Lonchura striata: one gene and its partners. The protein of the gene in region 2 binds, or shares a complex with, the protein of the main gene of each other region. Links are inferred from orthologs where the notes say so. Each region holds a gene or a part of one and is shown on either strand. Other genes may lie near its edges.

Region 1 (7,303 bases), on a different chromosome or scaffold from region 2:
TTGCTGGGCACTGCGCTCGGCCCTGGCAGCAGCGCTTCTGTGGGGATGGGAAGCAGCTGTAAATCCCATAATAGTCTCCAAAGAAACCCCAAAAAAAGCTTTCTTGGCTATGGAGCTGCTGCCTTCCCACCTCCCTGCCTTGTTGGGGTGCCTGAGCAGCATGGCAGCTCCTTGCTTGTGCCAACGGCAGAGGGGCTGATGAGAGCCACTGTGACATCCCACCAGCTCCCTCGTGTCCCCAGCTCCCTCGTGTCCCCAGCTCCCTCGTGTCCCCAGGCCCACCTTGCTCTCCAGGCAGCAGCGGCATGTTCACATCCTGGGCAGGATGCAGGAGCAGGGAGGCTCTGGGCTGGGAATGGCTGGGAGAAGAGTCCTCTGCAGGGGCTTTGAAGGGGCTCTTGACGGGGCTGCAGACCCCAGAGCTGTCCTCGGGGCAGAGGAACACATCAATGGGGCCCTGAGTGCTTCGCAGGGAGACCTGGAATGCCTGGGGAAGGGGACAGGAGTGAGACAAGGTGGCACAAGAACACCCAGGGAACAGCCGGGGCTGTTCAGGGAGGGCACAGCAGGAGCAGAACGTGACCCCAACTCACCTCTGCTGGGTCTGAGACCTGCAGCTGGGTCTCTGGGGGGGCTTTGATAACCATCACCATTTGCTCCGCGGGGTCCACAATGCTGCGGAGGTCCTGGCAGGTGACATAGGCTGCGGTGGGGTGGGTCAAGGAAGGGACACGGGGATGTGGGCTGAGAAACTCCCTGCCTGTGCCACCGCGGCTCAAGCACAGCCCCACCCAGCCAGCCCCACCCCAGAACCAAAGGATATTGCTGGTTGGCGGGGTCCTCGGTGAGCAGGCGCAGCTGCACCGTGCACATCTGGATGAGGTCATCCAGCTGCCGCTCGGCCGCCTGCAGCTCCCGCAGCTCCTTCTCCAGCAGCCGGTGCCGGCCTGGCGCTCCCACCGTGGCCTGGCTGCCCCTGGGGAGCACCGTGTCCATCAGGAGCCGCTCCCACAGCTTCCAGGGCCCCACCCAGGCCAGGCCACATCCCACCCCCCCGGCAGGGAACCAGCCCTGCAGGGATTTTGCAGCAGAGTGCTGCTCCCCCAAGGCTGGATGCAGCCCTCCCCTCCCCTGGGTGACTCGGGGAGTCCCAGGGGGACTCGCAGGACCCTCCTGCCATTGAGCACAGCCGTCCCCACAGGGAGCCACCACTTGGCCTGCAGCAGAAGCTCTGGTGACCCCGCCCTGAAATTCTCCACCCAGGTAAGACCCTCCTCCTCCCAGACAGCTCCCCCACCCCAGGAACAGCCAGGCACAGCCCCATGAGCCAGCGACATACAGCCACTGGATGTGGTTCTTGGACTTCTTGGTGATGAGCTGTATGCCCTCCAGGACATTGGTGATGTCGTAGATGCGCCTCTTCTGCACCTTCAGGACGTCGGCCGCCCAGTTGAGGTCCACCACACCATCTGGGGACTGGCTCAGCAGCTCCAGGAAGCGCTTGGTGGTGAGGTTCAGGGAGGTTTCATAGCGGGACTTCTCTCCAGGAGACTTTGCCCCTGCCAGACGTGGAGGACAAGTTTCATCCACAGCTGAAGCTGAAAGGTCACAAAACTCCTGCCATACTTGCAGGTGGCTTGTGGACTAGTGACCAGGACTGGCACCCCAAACCCAATCTGTTATCTCAGGGCAACGGGGTGAGTTGCCCAAATCCCCTGTAGGAAGGATGTTGCAGCACCTGGCACAAGCTGTGACACCTGTGCTCCGTTGTGACCACAGCTGTGACTGAGACACCAAGTGCCAGGCTGGGCTTGGGGGGAGATAACAGCAGGTCCACCTGGGACACTGCACTGACACCATGCTGGCACCTACAGCTCCATCCCACGGGGAGGGACAGAGCCGGAGGGGTGCCCAGCACAAGGGCAGGACAGCCATGCCACCAGCACAGGGCACAGCAGTGAGTGTGGAGGGTGGACAGAGGCAGGCCAGCCCCGGGAACAGCCCATCCACACCGACACAAAGGGCCTGGAAGGAGCTACCAGGATGAGCCTGGGGGAGCAGAGTGGGGCTGCTGGACCTCTGCTCTGAGCTGGGCTGGCAAGGGGGCCGGGGGGAGTGGAGCCGGTACCTTTAGCGGGGTTCCTGGCCTTGCCCCGGCTCACTGGCAAACTCTCCGCTATGTACTGGTGATCCGTCTCCAAGTTCAGCTTCCTCTTCACCTGCAAGGGCCGGGGTCAGCACAGGGACAGCCGCCCCAGGCCCCACTGCTGTGAAGGGTTTCTGTGAGGACCCCCCACAGCACAGTGGGGTACAGACACCCCGGATCCCGGCAGGAAGGGGTTGATGAGAGCTGTCACCCCGCTGGCAGGGATGGGGGCTGGCCCAGCCGCGGGGCCCCGCCGCGCTGCGGGGAGCGCCCCAAAGCCGACCGGGCCGTGGCTGGGGAGGCCAAGCACGGCCCGGCGCCGGGGCCTGCGGCTTCCGGAGCGGCGGCGGGGCAGGGCCGGCCCGGCAGGTGCTGCGTGGCACGGCCCGGCCGTACAGCCTGGCACAGCCGGGTGCACCGGGCACGGGCTGACACGGAGCAGGGCACGGCATATGGCACAGCACGGGGCACAGCAGGGTGAAATACGGTCCGGCCCGGTACGGAGCCCTGTCCGCTGTACAGCCCGGCTGGCTTTGGCACGGCTCGCTACATAGCACGGCCCGGTACGCAGCCGGGCCCATTGTACAGCCCGGCTCGGTGTAGCCCGGTCGGGTATACGGCCCGGTCGTTACAGGCCGGTTCGAGGCCCAATACTGCACAGCTCGGAACACAGCCCGGGCTCGCCGGTCCCCGGAGCCCCCGCCCGGCCCCCGCCCGCTCCCCATCCCACTCGCGGGGGTTACCGGCGGGCGGCCCAGCGCGGGCCGTCTGGGCGCGGCGCCGGGGCGGGCGGGCTGCGGCGTGGCGAAGAGCAGGAGGTCGGTATCGGGGTGGCCGCCGCCCGCGGGCTCCTCGGCGGCGGAGACGATCAGGAGGTGCGGGGAGGCGCTGCCCAGCAGCGCTGCCAGCCCCGCCGCGCCGCCCGCCGCCGCCATGGCTCACATGGCAGCCGGTGCCGCCGGTGCGGCGGGCGGCGCGGCGGGCAGGGCGCGGACAGGGGCGCGGCCCATGGCGGGCGCGGGGCCGCTGCGCTCCAGCTCCGGCTCCGGCTCCGGCTCCGGTGCGGCCGCCGCCGGATTGTTCGGCGCGCCGGCCCCGCGCGCCTTTGCGCGCCAAATCCTTTTTGCCGCGAAAAGCGGCGCGAGCCGCCCCGCCGCCCGCCCATTGGCTGCGCCCGCCTCGGCGGGGAGGAGAGAACGCGCTGCCATTGGCCGCGGCGCGCGGGGCGGCGGGCGGTGCCGCGCGGCCATTGGCGGGCGGGGGCCGCGCTGACAGGCGGCCAATCAGCGGCGCCGCGCCCGGGCGGCGGCCAATGGGAGCGCGGCTCGGGGACGCGGCGGGGGCGCAGCGCGGGTGCGGCGCGCGCTGCGTGTGTCCCCCTCGGGGTGTCCCCTCCCGTGTCCCTCTTTGTGTCCCCCGTGTCCCCCTCGGGGTGTCCCCTCCCGTGTCTCGGTGTCCCCCTCGGGGTGTCCCCTCCCGTGTTCCTCTTTGTGTCCCCCGTGTCCCCCTCGGGGTGTCCCCTTCCGTGTCTCGGTGTCCCCCTCGGGGTGTCCCCTCCCGTGTTCCTCTTTGTGTCCCCCGTGTCCCCCTCGGGGTGTCCCCTCCGTGTCCCTCTTTGTGTCCCCCGTGTCCCTCTCGAGGTGTCCCCTCCCGTGTCCCTGTTTGACAAGAGGGTGTCCCCCTCGTGTGCCGCCGCGGATTCCTCGCTCCGAGCCGGCCCCGGCTGCCGGTGTTCCCAGCCGTGGGGATTTCAGGGCTCGGGCCGAGCCGGTCCCGGCCCGGGCTCAGCCCCGCCGGGGTGCTGCGCTTCCGGCTGCGGGCGCGGCCGCTCCCCGCTCCGGATGGCGCGGGAGGACGGGGCACGCACCCACGAGCAAAGTTCAGCTCGCTCCCCTGCCCTGCGGACTCCGCCCGCCCACGGGTGTCACTGCTGGGGAAGAGGGCGGCTTTGGGCTCTGCGGGGCGTCGCAGGCTGCCCCCCGTGTGTTCCCCTTGCCCGGGGGTGACAGCCAGCCCAGCCTGGCCCGGCCCCCCGCAGCAATGCCTCGCAGTGGGGACATCAGTGGCTCCTCTCCTGTGCTGCGGGCCGTGGGCAGGATTTCTGTCTGGGCGCTGGGGCGTTGAAGGGCTCGGTTCAGGGCTGTCCACCTCCCTTGTGGAAGCAGCCCCGAGACCACGGCTGAGGCTGTCCGACAAATCTGGAGGCTTCGGGCTCTGACGCTGCTCCAGGGCCCAGCGCACACGGGAGGGCTGGGATGCTGCAATCTGCTCCATCCGTCTGCCCGGGGATTCACGGCATTCTGTTTGCAAACAGCTGCGGATCTCGGCAGCTCCTTCAGGAATGGCTGATAACCCCTTAGAGGGCAGAGGAAAAGCTCTGCCGGGAGCACAACCTGCACTTGACCGTGCCAGGCGCTATCTCCGGCCGTGGGAGCGTGTGGCTGGGGAGAGGCAGGGACACAGGGACGGCAGACGGAGCCGGGAGTGGCCCCATATGCTGAGAAAGATGAGAGTCCACCCATGAGACACGGGACAGGCAGCTCCCAGCACCAGTATCTCCTGTCTGCAGGACACTGATAACCTCCTGCTGCATGAGGAGGCAAAATTAAAAAGGAAAAAAGTACATCCTGCTAATAAAAAAAAAAAATTAAAAAGCATTTAAAGATTAGGCTTTTTGCAAGGCCCAGACATGGGGAAGCTCATGAGGAAAGTTTGTAGAGGGGTCTGATCCAAGCACCCAAACCCATGCTGAGCCAAGCTCAGGGTTTGACCCCTCTGTGCCCCCCACGTGCCCCCGGGGGTTGGTGGTCGAGCACAGTGACCCCCAGCCCACTGCTGCTGCCAGGCAGAGCTGTGAGCCAGTGCTGGCTCCTGCTGCCAACCCTGACCTGCCCGGGATGCAGGAGAAGGGCTGTTTTCCCAGCACTGCAGAAGGGCTGTTTTCCCAGCACTGCAGGAGAAGGGCTGTTTTCCCAGCAGTGCGTGGGATGCAGGAGGCATTTGCAGGGATGAGTTAACCTCTTTGCTGTGGAGCAGATCCTGACATGCAGTGCCCCTGTGCTGGCCTAACAGGTTTCTGGCTTTAAAGGATTTTATGCTGGATGCTTTGGCAGTGGCTGCAATTCCTCTGGGGGTGGCCAGTGTGGAGCAGGGCTGTGATTTCCCTGGGTCCCTCCATCCTTAAATACAGCAGTAACATGGTGCATGTCCGTGACCAATCCAATAAACTCGCTGTGCCTCATTTCTTCATCAGCAGAGAGCAAATAGAAACGCTGCCTTGCTTAAAGGAAATTAATATAGTTAATTAACACTTGGCCCTTCTAATATTCCGGGCCCCACTCTCCAGAGCCCTTCCACTGCAATATCATCATTACTAGGAAGCATAAGCAACAGTTAGACCAGATGTTTGCACACAGTTAATGCTTCTTCCATCTGGGGAAGGGGGAAAAAGGCAACCCCAGCAGCCGGGCGGGAGCGCATGGCTGGCGGTGCTCTCCCCATCCCTGGGGAGCCTCAGCCCGGCGCTTCCTGGGATGAGGCAGGGTTTGGGACACAGCTGCTGCACCAGCTGCTCCCGCTCGGCTCACAAAGGCTGCCTTCACCCCCCTAATTCATGCAGGAGCTCTTCGGGGGGAGCAGGCTCTGCCCCCTCTCCCGGAGGCTGCGCTTCGACTTCTCCGAGGCTTTCAGCGCCGGCGGCGCGAAAAGGGGCGGCTGTGGAGACAAATGAAAGGCGAACGCTGGTGGGAGAAGGACGGGCAGGGCCTTTCTGGCATGTGGGTGAGGGGAAGCAGATGAATTCTGTCTCCTGCACAACTGCAGCCTCCCCCGGCAGCCCCGCTGAGGAGCGCGGACGTGCTCCCGAGATTATCCGTGCGGCAGGTGCTGCTCCCGATAAAGTCCAGACTGCTCATCCCTGCCTTCACATCCCTGCCTTCACATCCCTGTCTGCACATCCCTGTCTGCATGTCCCTGCCTTCATATCCCTGCCTTCACATCCCTGTCTGCTCATCCCTGCCTTCACATCCCTGTCTGCACATCCCTGCCTTCACATCCCTGTCTGCACATCCCTGTCTGCATGTCCCTGCCTTCATATCCCTGTCTGCACATCCCTGTCTGCTCATCCCTGCCTTCACATCCCTGCCTTCACAGCCCTGTCTGCATGTCCCTGCCTTCATATCCCTGTCTGCACATCCCTGTCTGCACATCCCTGTCTGCACATCCCTGCCTTCACATCCCTGTCTGCATATCCCTGCCTGTTCATCCCTGCCTGTTCATCCCTGTCTGCACATCCTTGCGTGCACAGCCCTGCCTGCACATCCATGCCTGCACATCCCTGCCTGTACATCCCTGCCTTCATATCCCTGTCTGCACATCCCTGCCTGCACAGCCCTGCCTGTTCATCCCTGTCTGCTCATCCCTGTCTGCACAGCCCTGCCTGCCCATCCCTGCCTGCTCAGCCCTGCCTTCACATCCCTGCCTGCCCATCCCTGCCTGCTCATCCCTGCCTGCCCATCCCTGCCTGCACATCCCTGCCTGCTCATCCCTGCCTGCACATCCCTGTCTGCCCATCCCTGCCTGCACAGCCCCGCTCTCTCCTGCACAGCAGTGGGAAGGCTGCTCAGACACCTCGTGCCGTGGCAGCCGCTGAGTTTGGGTGGGTTTGGCACTGTGGGATAGACTCAGAGCAAGGCTGTGTGCTGGGAGAAGTCTGCAGCTGGAGCACAGCTGGTACCTGCGCTGGAAAATCACCTGGCAGCGGGAGCAGGGGGGAGGAGAGCTGCAGGATGCAAACCCCTTGCTGGGTTAAGGGCAGCCTGTGGGTGTCCCAGGAGCACATTTACTGTCCCTGCCATCGCAGAGGCAGTCCCAACCTCCAGCAGTTCCCACCGGGAGTGTGTCACATGTGAGCAGAGCAGGACTTCCCTGGGGTCTCCTGCCAATGTCCCTGTCCCAGTTCCCTGGTTTGTTCGCAAGATGGTGAGTTGGCAGTGTGGCACAATCTGCCTGTGGTGGGGACACACAGCTGGGGAAAGCCCAGAGCCCCCCCAGTTCTGCCCTGACCCTACAGTCCCTCACCTCTGCCACCTGAGCCGTCACCGTTGTTCTGTGCAAACCAAAGCCACTTTCTGGAAGCTTCTAGAAGTGTCTAAAGCT
Region 2 (7,136 bases):
TAAGAAAACAAACAGTAATAGCATCGATATTAATAACAAAATCATACAAAGAGGACCCCAAGACAACAACAGTTTCTTCCTGGAAGAGAGGGAGTCCCTTTTTCCTGCCTCTGGCAATGAGGTAGGATGGTATAGAATAACAAGGTACACATGCCCACTCCAGGCTCCACCCCTTCATGCCTACTGTGGAAAAAAAAGCTCTGTCCTGGCCAAAACCGGGACAACTTGGCTAGGCTTTAGGAGAACTGGGGGAAGAGGAATAGCCTTGTGTGTTCTGTGCCTCCTTGTTGACACAGACTTGGGTTGCCTGGTTCAGTATTAGATGTAAGCGCAAATTGGTAATCTTAACAGACATATCGTAAGTTTGTTTGCAGACATTTGAGATTGCCTCATAGAAATCTGGAGGTATATTGAGATACTGTAAATGTTTCCTGAAATGCAAATAATGGCTGCATGCATAATTCCATGTCCAAATGGGGTAGTCTCATGATATGATCTTAGGACAGAAACAACAGACCTTATTCCTGAATGATCACTCATTCCTGTATGAAAAATGGGGAGAATATTGCATAATCAGCCCACTTAGATATAATTGCAGCTTTTCAGAAACCTTATGTTTGTACTGTGGAATATTCTCTTCTGTGTTAAGCAGGTAAAATTAAAGCAGAGTTCCAGAAGCCCTGAAAGGAAAATCTACTGATTTGTTGAAGGTTTCTTGAAAAACAATGGTCTTTTTCTGGAAATTCTTGTTCCAGCTTGTTGGACAGTGGTTCTATCTCATTCATTAACTAATGATCAGTATAATTTTAATACAGAAAAGCTGATACAGAGCAGAAGCCTTATTAAGTGATGAGAGGATATTCCTATGGTGAAGCTGAACGTAAGGGAGTGAAAAGGAAGGTCTACTCTATGCTTGACTTGCAACTCATTCAGCTACTTTGGGGCTGACATTTTTTTTGGGGGGGGGGGAGGGGGGTTGGTTTATTTATTTTGTAGGTGGATTTAGCTGTGCTTATTTGGCATGGCTTTCTGAAAATTTGAGTTCTTATGTGTTACCCCTTAATTGCTATCCTTGATAATTCTGTGAAGATAAAGGAACCAAAGTAGTTTAAAAGCTGGTAGTGTGGGCTTTGCTTTGTGAGCCATTTCCCTGGCCCTGGGGTCAGATTAGTATGTATGGACCCACAACCACCCTACTTGTGGCTTATCCCATATAGAGTGGGTAGCTTCATTTTGTCAGTAGGAAGGTATTTGTGGGAGCTGTGAGGTGGTTTCCTGAAACTGTGGCTGATGTAGGTCTAGGATGGCTCAAGAATGTGATGCTGGACTAAGTCCATGGCACTACATAGCCTTTTAAAAGCTGTAAAAATTCATCATTTATTTGAGAATTTATCATTCTCAAATATGAGGAAAAGCATCCTCACAAAGCTTGTATTTCACTTGTTTTATGATTGGACATCCTCAGTTTTGCAGGGTGATGTGGGAGTGCCTTGTATGACAGAATATTGCTGTACGATGATGCTTAATAGAGGGGGTGAGAAATCTAGTGTGGTCTTGCCTGTTGGCACAAACCCAGGAACAATCCAACCACAAAAGCACTCTTGGGGTTTGTCTAGGGAAGGAATCCATAGTTCTGCTCAGTAACCAGTCCTGGCAGTATTCCAGCATGTGGGCAGTGCCAAAGGTGGAGGAAACGGGATCCCTGAATGACAAGAGGCGAGCCACACTAACAGTGTTGCTATTTTGTGGGAAATGCAATAGCTTGTAAGGAGCAGCAAAGTATCAGAGATCCAGTGTTGACCTGACAACCAGGGAGCCAACAAAACTACTGCAGGGAGAAGGAAGAACAGTGAGATGTCCTTAGGGCTCAGATATGTGTAGCCCACTCAACCCATAAAGGCAGAAGGCAAAAGCATACCTCTACCAACTTCACTCAGGAGATTTGCTCCTTGGGTTCTCCCACCACCTCTGTTGAGTAATTACCAGTGCTGGGTTGGTCTTAATGACACTTGCAAGACAGTGGGACTAGGAAAACCTTCTGCTGGCTGGAGACAGCAAACTGGACAACATTGTGGCAAGAGCGACTTAGGGATAGCTGATCCTGCCTTGTGGGAAAAACCTGTATCAGAGAGTAGTAAAAATTTCAGTTATGGTACCAAGCTGTATTTTTTATATCCTAAAATAGAGTGGAAATTCGATAACTGGGAGATGGTACCTCCCCAAGAGGCCAGATGTTGACAAGGTGGTCAGGTGACATGAGGTCTTTAAGTCATGAGTTTGCACAGATCACAGTGTTCAGACTGCATGGCTCCCCATTCGCGTGCATTTCCTCTGGCATCTGTTGAAGCTTTCTGCCTATAGACTAGATGACCTCTTGAGACAATTTCCTCACGTCTGTCATGCAGTCCTGCCGCACTGATGCTCTTTAAAGTTATGATCTGTTCTGATTTTCGTGCACCCTTAAAAGGGACAGACACTTCCCAGAAAACTATAAAGTGGAATAGCTTTCCACCGCTACGAACACAAACGAAATCCTAAAGCAACAAAATACCTGCAAAAGGTGTGCTCAGAGATTAGAGAAGTGTTGAAAATTTTTTCACCGGTACAAACACTTCAAATTAGTTGCAAACAACCCTCGGCTAAAGAACAAAAAAAACAAAAAAAAAAAAACCACTACCTAAGAGTTGAGCATGTTTGGGCAGTTAGCATGTATCAAAATAAATTCTAGCGAACTAGGACACTCCTTGTTTGTGCTTGTTCTGTTGACTCGCAAGTGTTTTTCCTACAAGAATTAATGTAAAACAAAAGAGCGGGAGGTGGGTGGATAGGGATGTGAGATACATAGACGGTTTGAACCCTCAGGCACAGTATATATGACCTAAAGGGTGGAGAGGAGCACTATCAACTGGAGATGTCTTTCAGGAAGCAATTTTTTTTTTCTGCAGCTGGCTTATGTGTTTTGTGTGTGAAAGTTTTTGCTGTTTTCTGAAATGTTATAATGTTATTAACACAATTTCATTATTACCTTCTTTCTTCGATGGCCTTTCCCGTCAATCTTAAATCAAGAGGAAAGAAGAAATGGGGTAATAACCCTACAGCAGCACGGGAGGGGGCGGGGGGAGGGGTGGGGCGAGGTGGGAGAGGCATTGTTAATAAAAAACTCCAAAGACTGCTATTTATCAGGAAAATGAACGTAGTGTTTCATTATTATGGTAAAGCACAACAATTCAACGTCTTTTAAAAACCCCAAAACAACAGAGTAAGGTGTAAAAGTGAATGCGAATCTGATAGACTCGTGAAATGCATCTCCTCCAGCATTCTCTCTGCTGGATTTGTCTGCTGCTGCAATGTAGCGGCTCTGTGGTCGTGTGTTCTATTCCCACCTAGTCGTCTTTCCCAGGAAGCAGCATGAATTTAGCGAAAGAACGAGCCTTTTACTTCCTGCTCCTCTCTTCATTGCGTTATGAGCAACCTTGTACCGTGCAGGCTTGCTCTTGCGTGCAGAACTGTGTATAGCTTCCTCCCCCATCGAGCAGCCTTGCATCCACCCCTGTGAGCGGTGATGAGCACGGCTCTTGAGCTTTCCTTGCTTTCCTGCAGTTCCCACTATGACGGCTCTGCCTCTGCAGGCCCCCCAGCAACGCTGTGGGTTTTGGGGTTGCTTTTTCCCCCCAAAATTTACAGGACAACGATGTAAGTTCATCACATAACCCTCGCTAACATGCTCTGTTTCTGCGGTCGTCATGGCACGCAGAGGCTGCACCGCCCGCGGTGCTTTGCTTTTGGGCGCAAGGTTAAGAGCTGCAGCCGCCCGAAGGAAAACTTTCGCTTGGATTACCAAAAAAACCCTAATTTTAGCAACGATCGCTGCAAGCGAAACTTTGCTCGAGTAACGGCCGGACAAGACGCGATGAGGAAGCACCGGCAGCAGGATGTTGTGGCAACGAAACCGCACGGCCCTGCCCGGCCGGCCCCGCTCCGCGCCGGCAGCGCGGCCGCGCCCGCGGGCACCGCTCGGCACCGCGGGGCGGGCGGGGAGTCGGAAGAAGGCGCGAAAATCCCGCGCATGCTCCATGCCCGGCTCCCTCCGCGCCTTGGAGCGGCGGGCGGCCGGGTTGGCTTGGCCGCTCCGCGTGTGTGCCCGCGCGAGGCGCGCCGCGCCCGTGACGTCAGCGCGCAGCGTCAGGGGGACGCACAAAAGTGTAAGTTTCAATTTTTTTTTTTTTTTTTTACATTTTATTAGAAAAGAAAAAAAAAAAAAGAAAAAAAGAAGAGACGAGGGAAGAGTGGCGGGGTCGCGCGCGCAGGGTCCGTGGGAGGGTTGGAGGGGAGGATCGCTGCGCTCGCTCGTCCCCGCTCGTTTACCCGCATCGCCCCCGTTCCCGCGGGCAGCCCCTCGGCGGCAGCGGCGCTGGGCAGGTGTGCGGGGCCGCGGCGTGCGGGGCCGCGGCGTGCGGGGGCGGCCGGCCGGGAGCCCGCCGGGCCGGCTGCCGGCGGGGGCAGAGGCGCGCTGGGAAGTGACAGCCCGCCGGGGAGACCCTCTTGTCCCGCCGCCTCTTCTCCCTGCACCCCCTCCCCCGGAACGCGGGGGGGAAAGGCGGTCCCTGCCGGTGCCCTCTCCTCCCTCCTCGCTTCCCTCCCCTGTTCCCGGGCTGCCGATGTCGGTGTCCCGCCGCCTCCCCCCGCCCCTGCCCCCTCCCGCCAGGCCCGCGCAGCCGCCGCACATGTGCAGTCGGGCGCCTCCGCAGCGGCAGCAGCAGAAGCGGCGGCAGCAGCGCGGCGGGCGGGGGGTGCTCCCGCTCCGCGCTCCGGGTCCCTGTCTCCGGGCGGCGGCGGGGGATGGAGCCGGCTCTCTCTGCCTTCGGCCGCTCAGGTGCGGGCAGCCCGCGCCCGAGGATGGGAGCACCAGGGGCTGCGTGGGACGGCGGCGGGTCGGGCACGATGGGGATGGGGACGGCGCGGACCCACACTCCGCCCGCCGCCCCTTCCCCCCGCGGCCGCCGGCCGTGCCGCCGGGCGCGTCCCCCCTTGCCCGCGCCCCCGCCGCCGAGGCGATTAGCGCGGCCCCTCGCTGCCGGGGGGAGGCGGCGCGGGGCTCGGGGCTCTGCCCGGGCGGTGAGGCCCCGGGCGGGGGGCGCGGGCGGGCGCGGGGTGCCCGAGCCGCAGGGGCGGCCGCCGGTCTGTGCCGCCCGGTGTGGCCGCGGCCCGTCCGCCTGCGAGGAGGAGGAGAAAAGCGGGGTTGGAAGGCCCCGGGGGGAGCTGCCCCTGGGGCCTACTAGTGCCTGCTGCTGGAAATGGGGGTGGGGAGGAGGAGGCCGTGATCGCTGCCCGCGCTCGGCGTTGGAAGGGGCGCAGCTGGACAGGGACCGGCCTCGCGTGGGATCGGGCACGGGCTGGGGGAAGGGCTCTCACTGCCGGGGCACGGCCGGCTCGCCCCCGCCGTCGGGAGAGCAGTGCCCCCCACACGTGAGCCTGGGGCTCGAGGGACGAAAAGGTGATGATGGGAAACTTTTCCCTTTTTAAAAACATGGTTGTTTTTTCAAAAATAAGCCTAAATTGTACTTGGTAGTAGTCAATAATTTCAATTGTAAAAACTTTCCCTCCTTTCATTTTTTTATAGCTGGTGCTGTCTTTGCTTTCTGCTTTCCAGAAAATAGCATTGTCCCTGTGTCCTGCAGCCATCGAGATTTTAAGACGACTGGTTTTTAGTCTTTGGTAACATGGCAAAAGATGTAAGTATATTTGTAGCACATAAAACGTGGAAGCATGGAATGTTTCTATTAACAAAAGCAAACGGGGTCAGGCTTTATAATAGCTGCCATTAATGAGTATGTGGAACTTTATTCTGTGCATCAAGCCTAGGCTGTTTTCCTGTAGACAGTGTAAAACAGCTTCAGATCCGCTGCCATTTTTTCAGAGTGATTAATGTTGCGAATTCCATATGCTAATAACGGCGCTTGGGCCGTTGTCATTATGTGCATTCACATTGAACACTAAAACAGCTTGGGTTTGGATTGGATTGAAAAAAACTCAGCACGTGTTGTTCAGATGGCAGGGCTGTCGTTGACTACTGTTGTCAACTAACGTTGCCTTTCTTGAGTTCAAGAAGGCATCAGACATTTGAGGGAAGATGGTTCATTCTCCATATGTGTTCATAGTTTATCTTTGTCTACCAAATGATGCTTGTTGGTGTCTGTAAAAACAGGCTTTGGGAACTTTCACCGTAGATTTCCATTACTGCTGTTGTTAAAGTTTCAACTTTGATTCTGTGGCCTGCCTTTTGGAGCACCTTTGCTCTTCACCCCTTCTGGTACCTACTAAAAAAAATTCAGTTTATTCTGCCTTTAAGATGTCAGTCATTGTTCATACCTAATATAATAGGGCTTTCATGTTTTCTTATTGAAAATAAGACAATGGCTAGTCTGTATTCAAATTAGAGCATATGTCCCCTTCAAAAAAGCCCAAAACCCCTAAAAAACCAACAGCATGCAAGCTAAAGAAAAGTGATACAATTCACTGGTTAAACAGTAGGTTGCAGCCTAATGTGGAATATTGTAGCTTTCAAATAGTGTTGATTTCCATGAAAGAGTGATTGGCTTAAAAAATAATCTTGTAGGGAATTTTAGTAGTTCAGCTGAAAAACATCTTAATGTGTGGAGAAGCAACCAGACATACGTAGTCACTCAAAGCTTGCCTGGAAGAGATAAGGGTGGCCAAGTACACTACAGATAGCAGAGTTCAGGGAATGATAGGCCATATAAGCGGGAAGAAAACGAAAGTGGAGTGTTATACTAGGAGCTGGAATTGAAATAGCTCAAAGTAATTGAAATGCCAAAGTACATTTGTTTAATACTATCTTTTGGGAGAGAGATCAACTAAGTGAAGAGTTGCTAGCACCTGGAAATACAGATGAACGTCCTGCTGGATCTAAGTGAGAATGAGACATTTAAGAACAAACCTTATTTTTGAAAGATCTAGTTTATTCTTGCAAAGAGAGTAGTTAAGGAAGAAAGGAAGGAATAACTTACCTCAGAATATACTTAAAAAATGGGACAAGGTACTACAGATATGAGAAGAAATGGCTTTAAGTATCTTTAAAGAAATAATAAACTGAATTTGGAAAAATTAATATCTAG
Region 3 (7,703 bases), about 29 Mb from region 2:
GACAGCTGTAGTGCTTTTGAACAATCCCCCTCTGCAGACCTGTTTTTTACAACTAGAAGTCAGCCACATTTTCCAGAAAAGTTGTGTTACCATCTCTCTCGTCACCTTGCTCCTCCTCCACACCTGTCAAAGAGGTTCAGCTGTTTCAAGGACTCACAGCCCAGTTGCAATAGGGTGCACCTGTATATCCTTGACTCACATGCTGTGGAAACAGGTAACTGGAGACCACTGCAAGGAAAGCTAAAGTGCTTGGAAAGGAAGGGCAAGATAAGAAAGCTGAAATTTCAAAGTATCACCACTAGTAGCTCCAATGTTCAAAAGAAAAAAAAATATCAGAGTGGAAAGTTGTGACATCTGATGGAAAAAAAAGCAGTGGCTCCAATGGGCATTGGCATTCATTCCAGGGAGTAGCAGATAACAGGTTCTCTCCTCCTGGCTTACGCCTGCCTGGCCAATAAAATGTCTCACTGAAGCACAGGCACATTTAGGCTGCTAGGTCACGACATTCTAGCAATTTATTGTGTAAATGCCTGCCAAAAATAATTGCTTTATACTTCTAAGCCACATTTACCTGGTTTGCAGAGTCTCTACACATGCACCCTAAGCAACTCAAAAAGGACAGTATGCAAGATGTTTTCAAGTCATTAAATGTGCACTGAGCAAGGATATGGCAGATGTTCAGACTGCATCCAAACCCACATCTGCACCCTGAGTATCTGCCAGTTACCACGGTACCTAAAGTCTCGGCCATACTGCTTTCTAGTTACCAGTACAAGTGCCCTTCACGTCCTCAGAGATTTGGCAGGCACAATTCTAGTATCAACCACAATAAAACAAGGCCAGTGAGCCAAGAAAGGCAAGGTTTCAGGTCTTTGTACTTTGTAAATGGCTTGAGAGGTGGATTCTTAGATTCTACCTCTATTTCCATCAGCAGCCTTATGATTTAAGCTTTTTCAAGTCAAACCAACTACATTGCTAAACAGAAGTGTTCTGGTAAGTATTTGTCTCAACTGGTGGCCTGCTGTTTAACTTTTTGCTTGAGAACAGAAAGCTGCTACACAGCTTCTGCTCCAGTTCAGAACTGAACAGGTTACTACTGAACCTCACTGATCAAAACACATGCAGCTGGTGCTTGCAGGACAAACCCTGGGACTGCCCCTCCAACATAATACCTTTACCAGAGGGAAGAAAAGAGCAGCCTCCGCCTGAATCCCTGCAACTTGAAGAATAGAACAGAGTCGTCCTGAGAAGCCAGGCTTGCCGTAAGAGCTTGACTTGGGAAAAGAAGCAGCAACTAGCCAGGCTGTTACTTTGCTTGACTTCAGAGTCAGACAAAGCCTGCTCTCAGCTAGAAGTAGCAACTCCAGTGCCTTCCAGGTCCCCATGGAGGCACACAGTTGACAGCTTACTCATTTCAACACCCTGCAGATAGAGCTCTAAGTCTGAGCAAAAGGCCTTGGACTGAAATTAAATGTAGATTTTTTTTTTTCCCTGTACATTGAAAGACTGTCAACAAACAATTGCAAGACAACAGGTATTATTTATATATCATAATGAAGGTCTGGTTCTGAATAGGTAAAGGAAGCAATCTCCAGATGCTGAAAGGTTTCAACCACCATGTATCTTATCTGTTCACTGCTAAGTAATGATCAGTGAAAACAAAACTTTACCTGTAAATGAAATTTTCAGGATTATATTGCAACCTGCCTTGTTTTTTTTTTTTTCAATCAAGGGAAATGACTACTCCTGTTTTCATTCTTATAGAGGAACTTGACTATGATTTTAGGTGAATGTTTCCCATGAACACCCATGACCAGAAATTATATCTGTTACTGAAAGAGCTGTGCAGTCTCCCTTCCATTATATTGTTAGTCCATTATGTGAATGTATCAAGACCTGGTATATCCACACTGCAGTTTAAAAAACACAGATTACAAACTATTAGTAGTGACAGCATAGCTGTGACAGGTCAGCTCAAGTTGCAGAAGGGTAAGCAGAAGTCAGAACACGTACATCAATGCAAGTCCACACGGTGGGAATAATACCCCAGCTAGATATTATGCAACTGCATCAGGACTCTACAACAAAGCTTTTGCCATGATTTAGCTGTATTACAGCTGTCCTCTGAGCCAGCTCATACTGAGGAGAAGGAAAAGCAAAAATCAAGAAAGGCTTTATTAATCTGTTTACACATGCCTAATGACTAATTTGAACGGAAATGCCTCATTGATAAGCACAGGTTAACATTATGCAACAGAAAGGCAACTGTCTCTGCAACAGTCATCTCAATACCCTTTCTGCAGCTTCATAAAAGATGCAAAGGGGAAAAAATACACAGAAACACACAGTAAGACTACCTGTATAAAGCTGATTAAGACATATTTGAAATAACTTGCAGTTGGAAGAATTCGCTGATCACATGGTGCTATTTTCTAATGCCACTTGTTAGTTATCTAAAAGGACTCCTGAGCACGCACTTTTATCACAAAATATTAACAAAAAAGAGCAATCTACAGAAGCCGGTTTACACAGACGTGAACATGGCAACACCCCACTTCAGTCTACCTTCGCTTGGAAAAAGCAGAGTACGTGAGCTTTGGCTGTGGGAGCCCCGGCCGCGGCTGCAGCGAAGCTAGGGCGCAGCGCCTGAGCTGGGGCACAGGGCAGACCGAGCGATGCCGCTACTCACCAGAGCTCCATCCGCTGCCGACAAGCTCTCGTACGTCTTCCACGCTCTCTCCCTCACGCTCTCCGACACCTTCAGCGCCTCACACAGCGCAGCGAAGTCCGCTTCGCCGACCTCGACCCTAGGAAAAGCATCGCACATCGCCAGCGGGGACAGGGACCGCGGGGCGACCACGAGACCCACGCCACCGGCTGCCGGAGCCGCCCCGGGGTGACACCGCCCCGCACCGCCCACAGCCCGGCCCGCCGGGCGCCGAGAGCCCCGGGGCGGCCCGCCCGCCTGCAGCGGGGCGCCGAGAGCCCTTACCGGGGGGCGGCGGGCGGCGCGGAGCCGCCGTCGGGGCTGGGGCGCTGCGCCCTGGCGGCGCCCGCCCTGCGCGGGGGCTTGGGCGGCATGGCGGGAGCGGCTCCGGGAGCGCCCGCCGCGGGCAGCACTGACCGGGGCCGCTGCCCCCGCCCGCCGCCCGAACCGCGGGAAAACGGCGTCAGCGCCACTTCCGTCACTTCCGCGCCGGCGGCCGCGCCCCGCCCCGCCCGCGGCCCGGGCTCGGGGCGGGACCGGGGCAGAGGCGGCGCGGCGCGGCCCGGGCTCGGGGCGGGACCGGGGCGGAGGCGGCGCGGCGCGGCCCGGGCTCGGGGCGGGACCGGGGCGGAGGCGGCGCGGCGCGGCCCGGGCTCGGGGCGGGACCGGGGCGGAGGCGGCGCGGCGCGGCCCGGGCTCGGGGCGGGACCGGGGCGGAGGCGGCGCGGCGCGGCCCGGGCTCGGGGCGGGACCGGGGCGGAGGCGGCGCGGCGCGGCCCGGGCTCGGGGCGGGACCGGGGCAGAGGCGGCGCGGCGCGGCCCCAGAGCCGCCGCGGGAACGGCGGCCCCGCCGTGCCTGAGACTTCAGGCACTCAGCGAGCACAGCCGGTACATCTTTTCCGTGAGCTGGGAAGGAACGCGGGCCGGTGTGTGAGAATAACTGTACGGAATAACTACAGGCGCAGAGCGGAGCAAGAATTGCAGATCCTTTAGGATCTGTCGGTTCATGGAGACCAAGTGCCGGCCCTGCGCGCCGGTCACAGCAGCCGCTGGCAGCGCTGCAGGCTGGTGGCACAGCGGCTGGGAGTGGCCCGGGGTGAAAGGAGCTGGGGGTGCTGGTCGGCAGCAGCTGAATGTGAAGCCAGAGTGTGCCCAGGTAGCCAAGAAGGACAATGGCATCCTGGCCTGCATCAGCAACAGTGTGGGCAGCAGGAGCAGGGCAGGGATTGTCGCCTTGTGCTCGGCACGGGTGGGGCTATAACTCAACTGTGTCCAGCTCCTCTCGAGAAGAAAGTCCAGAGAAGGGCAGGGTAGCTAGGGAAGGGTCCGGAGCGCAAGTCCTGTGAGGAGTGGCTGAGGGAGCTGCGGGTGTTTAACCTGGAAACAGGAGGCTTGGGAGACCTTACTGCTCTCTGCAACTGCCTGAGCAAAGCCTGTAGTGAGGTGAGGGTTGGCATCTTCTCACAGGTAACAAGTGACAGGACAAGAGGTTGTGGCCTCAGACTGCACCAGGGGAAGTTTAGGTTGGACACCAAGAGGAATTTAATCATAGAAGGGATTGTTAAACATTGGAATGGGCTGCCCAGTGAAGTCACCATCCCAAAAGGTGTTCAAGAAATAACTAGACATGATGGCATTTGGTGCCATAGTCTCATTGACAAGGTGGTAGGTGACCAGTCAAAGGATGGCCTTGATGATCTCAGAGGTCTTCTGAGGTCTTCAAACCTAAATGATTCAGTGACGTCTCAATCTGAATTCATCCAAGTCCTAACTGAAATGTTATTTCTAGCACTGTGCAGTAAAATTACATTAATGTAAAAAGTTCAGGTTGTGGACATCTGGATTTTAAGTCAATGAGATTCAAATTGCCAGTGCTCTGATTCAAAGATCTTAGAAATCTGCTTTGTTGTCTGCAGTTGCATACTCACATTTAGAAGGCCAATCTCTGCTGTAAACAAGCATGTTTATTTTCAGACTTACATGATGACAACTTCTTAAAAAAGGAAAAGTATTTGTATGTAAGTATTCTTACTACCTGCACGTATCTGTCATTCACCTGTAAAGCAACTGCTTTTAGTGAGACTGCTGTCAAAACTCTGGATTTAAGAAAATCCCAAACAAAAATCAGCATGAGCATTAATGTGTTATACAATTAAAATTCCCTAGTATTTTTACAACCATACATTCTAGTAATTTGTTCAGGCGTGTCCTTTATGATTCTTAACTTAAAACAGGAGAACAGTGTCTGGCTTTCTGCTTTATAATTAGAATTAAACCAATTACAGAAAAGTGAATACAGAACAAATCAAAGTACATAAACTCCAAATTAAACGTTTGAGTTGTAGACTGTAGTGGGATTTGGACATTCCTGATTATGATTCTAGTAAAATTGTGGCAGTAGCTTTACCCTGCTTCTAAGCACATTTAAATACTTTTTGTATTCAGATGGTACCAGATGCTGTGGAAGGTTTGGGGTAGGACTGTCTGTCATCAACCACTGAACCACAGACAAGTAGACAGACCAGCTTGGAAAAGTAAGCTGAACCCCTAAACCACAGCTGAGTCCATTGCCTTCTCCTCAGAACTGGCTTTAAGAGCACAAAAGAATTTAAAATGAGAGCAAAGCATCTCAGAAAACTTGGTTGCAGCCAGTGGAGGCCATGCCAGCTGTTAGCAAGACAAACAAACACACCCTCCTGGGTCGCTTCCCTCGCAGCTGCTTTAACATGCTGTTACAGCCAGGCCCTGCATCGTCCAGATGGCAGGCAAAGAATTTGTCTCGTGGCCCTCTGTGCATTGCTCCTTTTAAAAAGTTCACAAACTAGCCTCAGTGTAAATACTATTTTTAAAAAATTGTTAGTGCACCAAGCACCTTGTCATGTCAAATTTTAGGTACTTTTTCATCAAGCAAGGCTCTGAGGGCTCCCCTCCATAAATAGGTAAAAAAAAATATAATCTCAGAATGCTTCAACTTACAGCTGGAAGGAGGCAAAGGGAACAGCAGATGAATCAAGCAAAAATAACCTTTAATAATCCATCCCAAAGCCTTGGGTATAGTAACTACATCTAAACTGCAGTAAGAAGAGTTAACATGTATGTACTTCCAAAGAAAGGCACATCCTTGTGTAAAACCATACTTAAGTTGCTGCACCTCTTTCCCCTTCTCCTTTTAAGACTTACTGATTTGAAAGTTTTAATCCTGTATTCTAAAACATCTTCTAAATGAAGCCTTTAGACTTTTCAGTAAAATTACAGTAAAATTACAAAGGAAAGAAAAAAATCAGCTGCTATTGGGGAAGCACAAAGAAAACACTGCAATGTCAAATAAAGTATTAATGATAGTTTTTGCATCTGATCTGACAAAACCTTCATTCTAAGCATCTTACTCCAACTGCTTTTATAGTATAGGTCACGGACATATGTGAAGCATTGTCCAGTTCTGACTCATTGTTTCCAGCCTTAGGTAATTTTGTTACATAACAAAAGACAACCTTAGGTAATTTTATTATCCTAATTTTTTCACTTAAAAGTATTTCATGGTAATTGCCAGTTGGAATTAAAGCCATTATTTCAATTATAGTAAAATCAGTTTTCTGAAGTTGTATGACCAAAACATCTGCATTTAAAACCCCACTAAATTGAGAGCTTCTGGATATAAGTCCAAATACTAAATATTGGCAGAATTTCTGCTCAAATAAAGCCCATAGGCTGTAAAACTCAAAGACTATAAAGATGTCTGCATGTATCACACCCATTTTCCTGCATGTAACAGGCAGAATTATCTAGGGAGGGGACAGAGGCTTTCCTAGCCAGCCTTTTCTGTGCATTCACATTCCTTGCACTGTTCAGCAGCCCCCAGCCCTCTGCCATCAGTGTCACCTGGAGCCCACCTGTCCTTCTCAAGCCCCAGCACGAGTGCTAACAGGAGCAAGGAGGTGCAGGCTAACTTTTCACCAGCTGCTGCCCTACAGGCCCCAGGCCTTAAGAAGAGCCTTTTTGGAGAAGCACCTGGTGCAGCAGGCAGACCCAAGTGACAGTCTTGCTGCAGGAGATCCTCAGGGACATTCAGGCCATGGCTTGAACAGGCCCTTTGCATTCCCCAGCATCACCTCCCCTGGTAACTCTGTGATTGTGCTGGCATCACTCTGCCTTTGAAATTGGGAAGGGTTTACTGGGGAGATGGGGTGAAACTGTTTGGTTGTTCCTCTTGGTGGTGGTGAGCCTGACCTTTGTGCCATTGTTTCCTACACAAATACACATCCTGAGATATGAAGAATAAAAACCCCCTCTGTAAGTTAATATTTCCACAGTGAGGTAAAATCCATAGGGACCATAACAAACATCTACCCATTTCTCTTTAAGATGAGAGGGATCTGTCAGACGTTGCCACTTGTAAAAATTCAAAGCCTCTCTCTATACATTGATATTATTATTAAAAAGAATACTTTTCACTCCACAGTTACAGGCATTGGTGGCTTGCTCTTCTCAGAGCACTACACAGGGCACTGCTGGACTCTCAGGACTGCAGTGATAAGTTTAAGGCAGGAATCTCTATTAATAAAACATTTGACCAAACTGCCAGTGGGATCTGAAAGGACACCACTGTTACTGGATGGGGAAATGGCTACATCTAAAGGATGCCTATGTGCAAAACCTCAACCCTTCACAGATACTTCCAGTTATTTTTCTTGGACATCAGAGAGGTTTTGCATTGATCAAGCTTTTAGACTTGAGTGTCACTTTCTTTTTACTCAGTTGTATTTTTTTATAGAGGAATCATAACTACTTATACAGACCCTCCACATTTTTTGTTCTCTGTGAGAATGGCTGTCAGAGCTGTGTCTGTTTTAACAGATTTGCACTAGTGCTGAGAGCCAGGGTACTAAAAAATAAAATCACTGACTGGTGCAATTTATCAGATTAAGCCCTAGTGACAGTGCAATTACATCAGACAAAAAATGATCATTCCTGGTATGGCTTTCCTTGCTTACAAGGG

The links.
Region 1: the proteins of TFDP1 (region 2) and E2F1 are in contact, whole or in part, in a crystal structure (PDB 2AZE), measured with the Homo sapiens proteins. The link is inferred for Lonchura striata from reciprocal best matches to the Homo sapiens genes TFDP1 and E2F1. Residues at the interface, in NP_009042.1 of Homo sapiens: Glu201, Cys202, Leu205, Glu206, Glu208, Arg209, Arg212, Leu213, Arg215, Ile216, Lys219, Gln220, Gln222, Leu223, Leu226, Ile227, Gln229, Gln230, Phe233, Lys234, Leu236, Val237, Arg239, Asn240, Arg241, Glu244, Pro251, Ser255, Val256, Ile257; in NP_005216.1 of Homo sapiens: Arg202, Leu203, Leu206, Thr207, Asp209, Leu210, Leu213, Gln214, Ser216, Glu217, Leu220, Asp221, Leu223, Met224, Ile226, Cys227, Thr228, Gln230, Leu231, Leu234, Asp239, Ser240, Gln241, Arg242, Leu243, Ala244, Tyr245, Val246, Thr247, Cys248.
Region 3: the proteins of TFDP1 (region 2) and RB1 are in contact, whole or in part, in a crystal structure (PDB 2AZE), measured with the Homo sapiens proteins. The link is inferred for Lonchura striata from reciprocal best matches to the Homo sapiens genes TFDP1 and RB1. Residues at the interface, in NP_009042.1 of Homo sapiens: Gln222, Glu225, Leu226, Gln229, Ile262, Val271, Asp273, Asp288, Asn289, Thr290, Phe291, Glu292, Ile293, His294, Asp295, Glu298, Arg302; in NP_000312.2 of Homo sapiens: Ile835, Ser838, Phe839, Thr841, Ser842, Phe845, Gln846, Ile848, Asn849, Val852, Cys853, Asn854, Ser855, Val858, Leu859, Lys860, Arg861.

Annotation. Positions count from the first base shown.
Region 1 is NC_134619.1:12,541,399-12,548,701, forward strand, and holds the start of E2F1 (transcription factor E2F1), read right to left. Parts: upstream 3,082-7,303; coding exon 2,890-3,081; intron 2,220-2,889; coding exon 2,129-2,219; intron 1,560-2,128; coding exon 1,340-1,559; intron 977-1,339; coding exon 824-976; intron 709-823; coding exon 594-708; intron 488-593; coding exon 283-487; intron 38-282; coding exon 1-37. UniProt on the Homo sapiens protein: Transcription activator that binds DNA cooperatively with DP proteins through the E2 recognition site, 5'-TTTC[CG]CGC-3' found in the promoter region of a number of genes whose products are involved in cell cycle regulation or in DNA replication.
Region 2 is NC_134604.1:91,304,514-91,311,649, reverse strand, and holds the start of TFDP1 (transcription factor Dp-1), read left to right. Parts: upstream 1-4,090; 5' UTR 4,091-4,202; intron 4,203-4,400; exon of another isoform or gene 4,401-4,419; intron 4,420-4,717; exon of another isoform or gene 4,718-4,873; intron 4,874-5,399; exon of another isoform or gene 5,400-5,494; intron 5,495-5,620; exon of another isoform or gene 5,621-5,650; 5' UTR 5,651-5,720; coding exon 5,721-5,732; intron 5,733-7,136. UniProt on the Homo sapiens protein: Can stimulate E2F-dependent transcription.
Region 3 is NC_134604.1:61,979,465-61,987,167, reverse strand, and holds the start of RB1 (retinoblastoma-associated protein), read right to left. Parts: upstream 3,082-7,703; coding exon 2,993-3,081; intron 2,808-2,992; coding exon 2,690-2,807; intron 1-2,689. UniProt on the Homo sapiens protein: Tumor suppressor that is a key regulator of the G1/S transition of the cell cycle. The hypophosphorylated form binds transcription regulators of the E2F family, preventing transcription of E2F-responsive genes.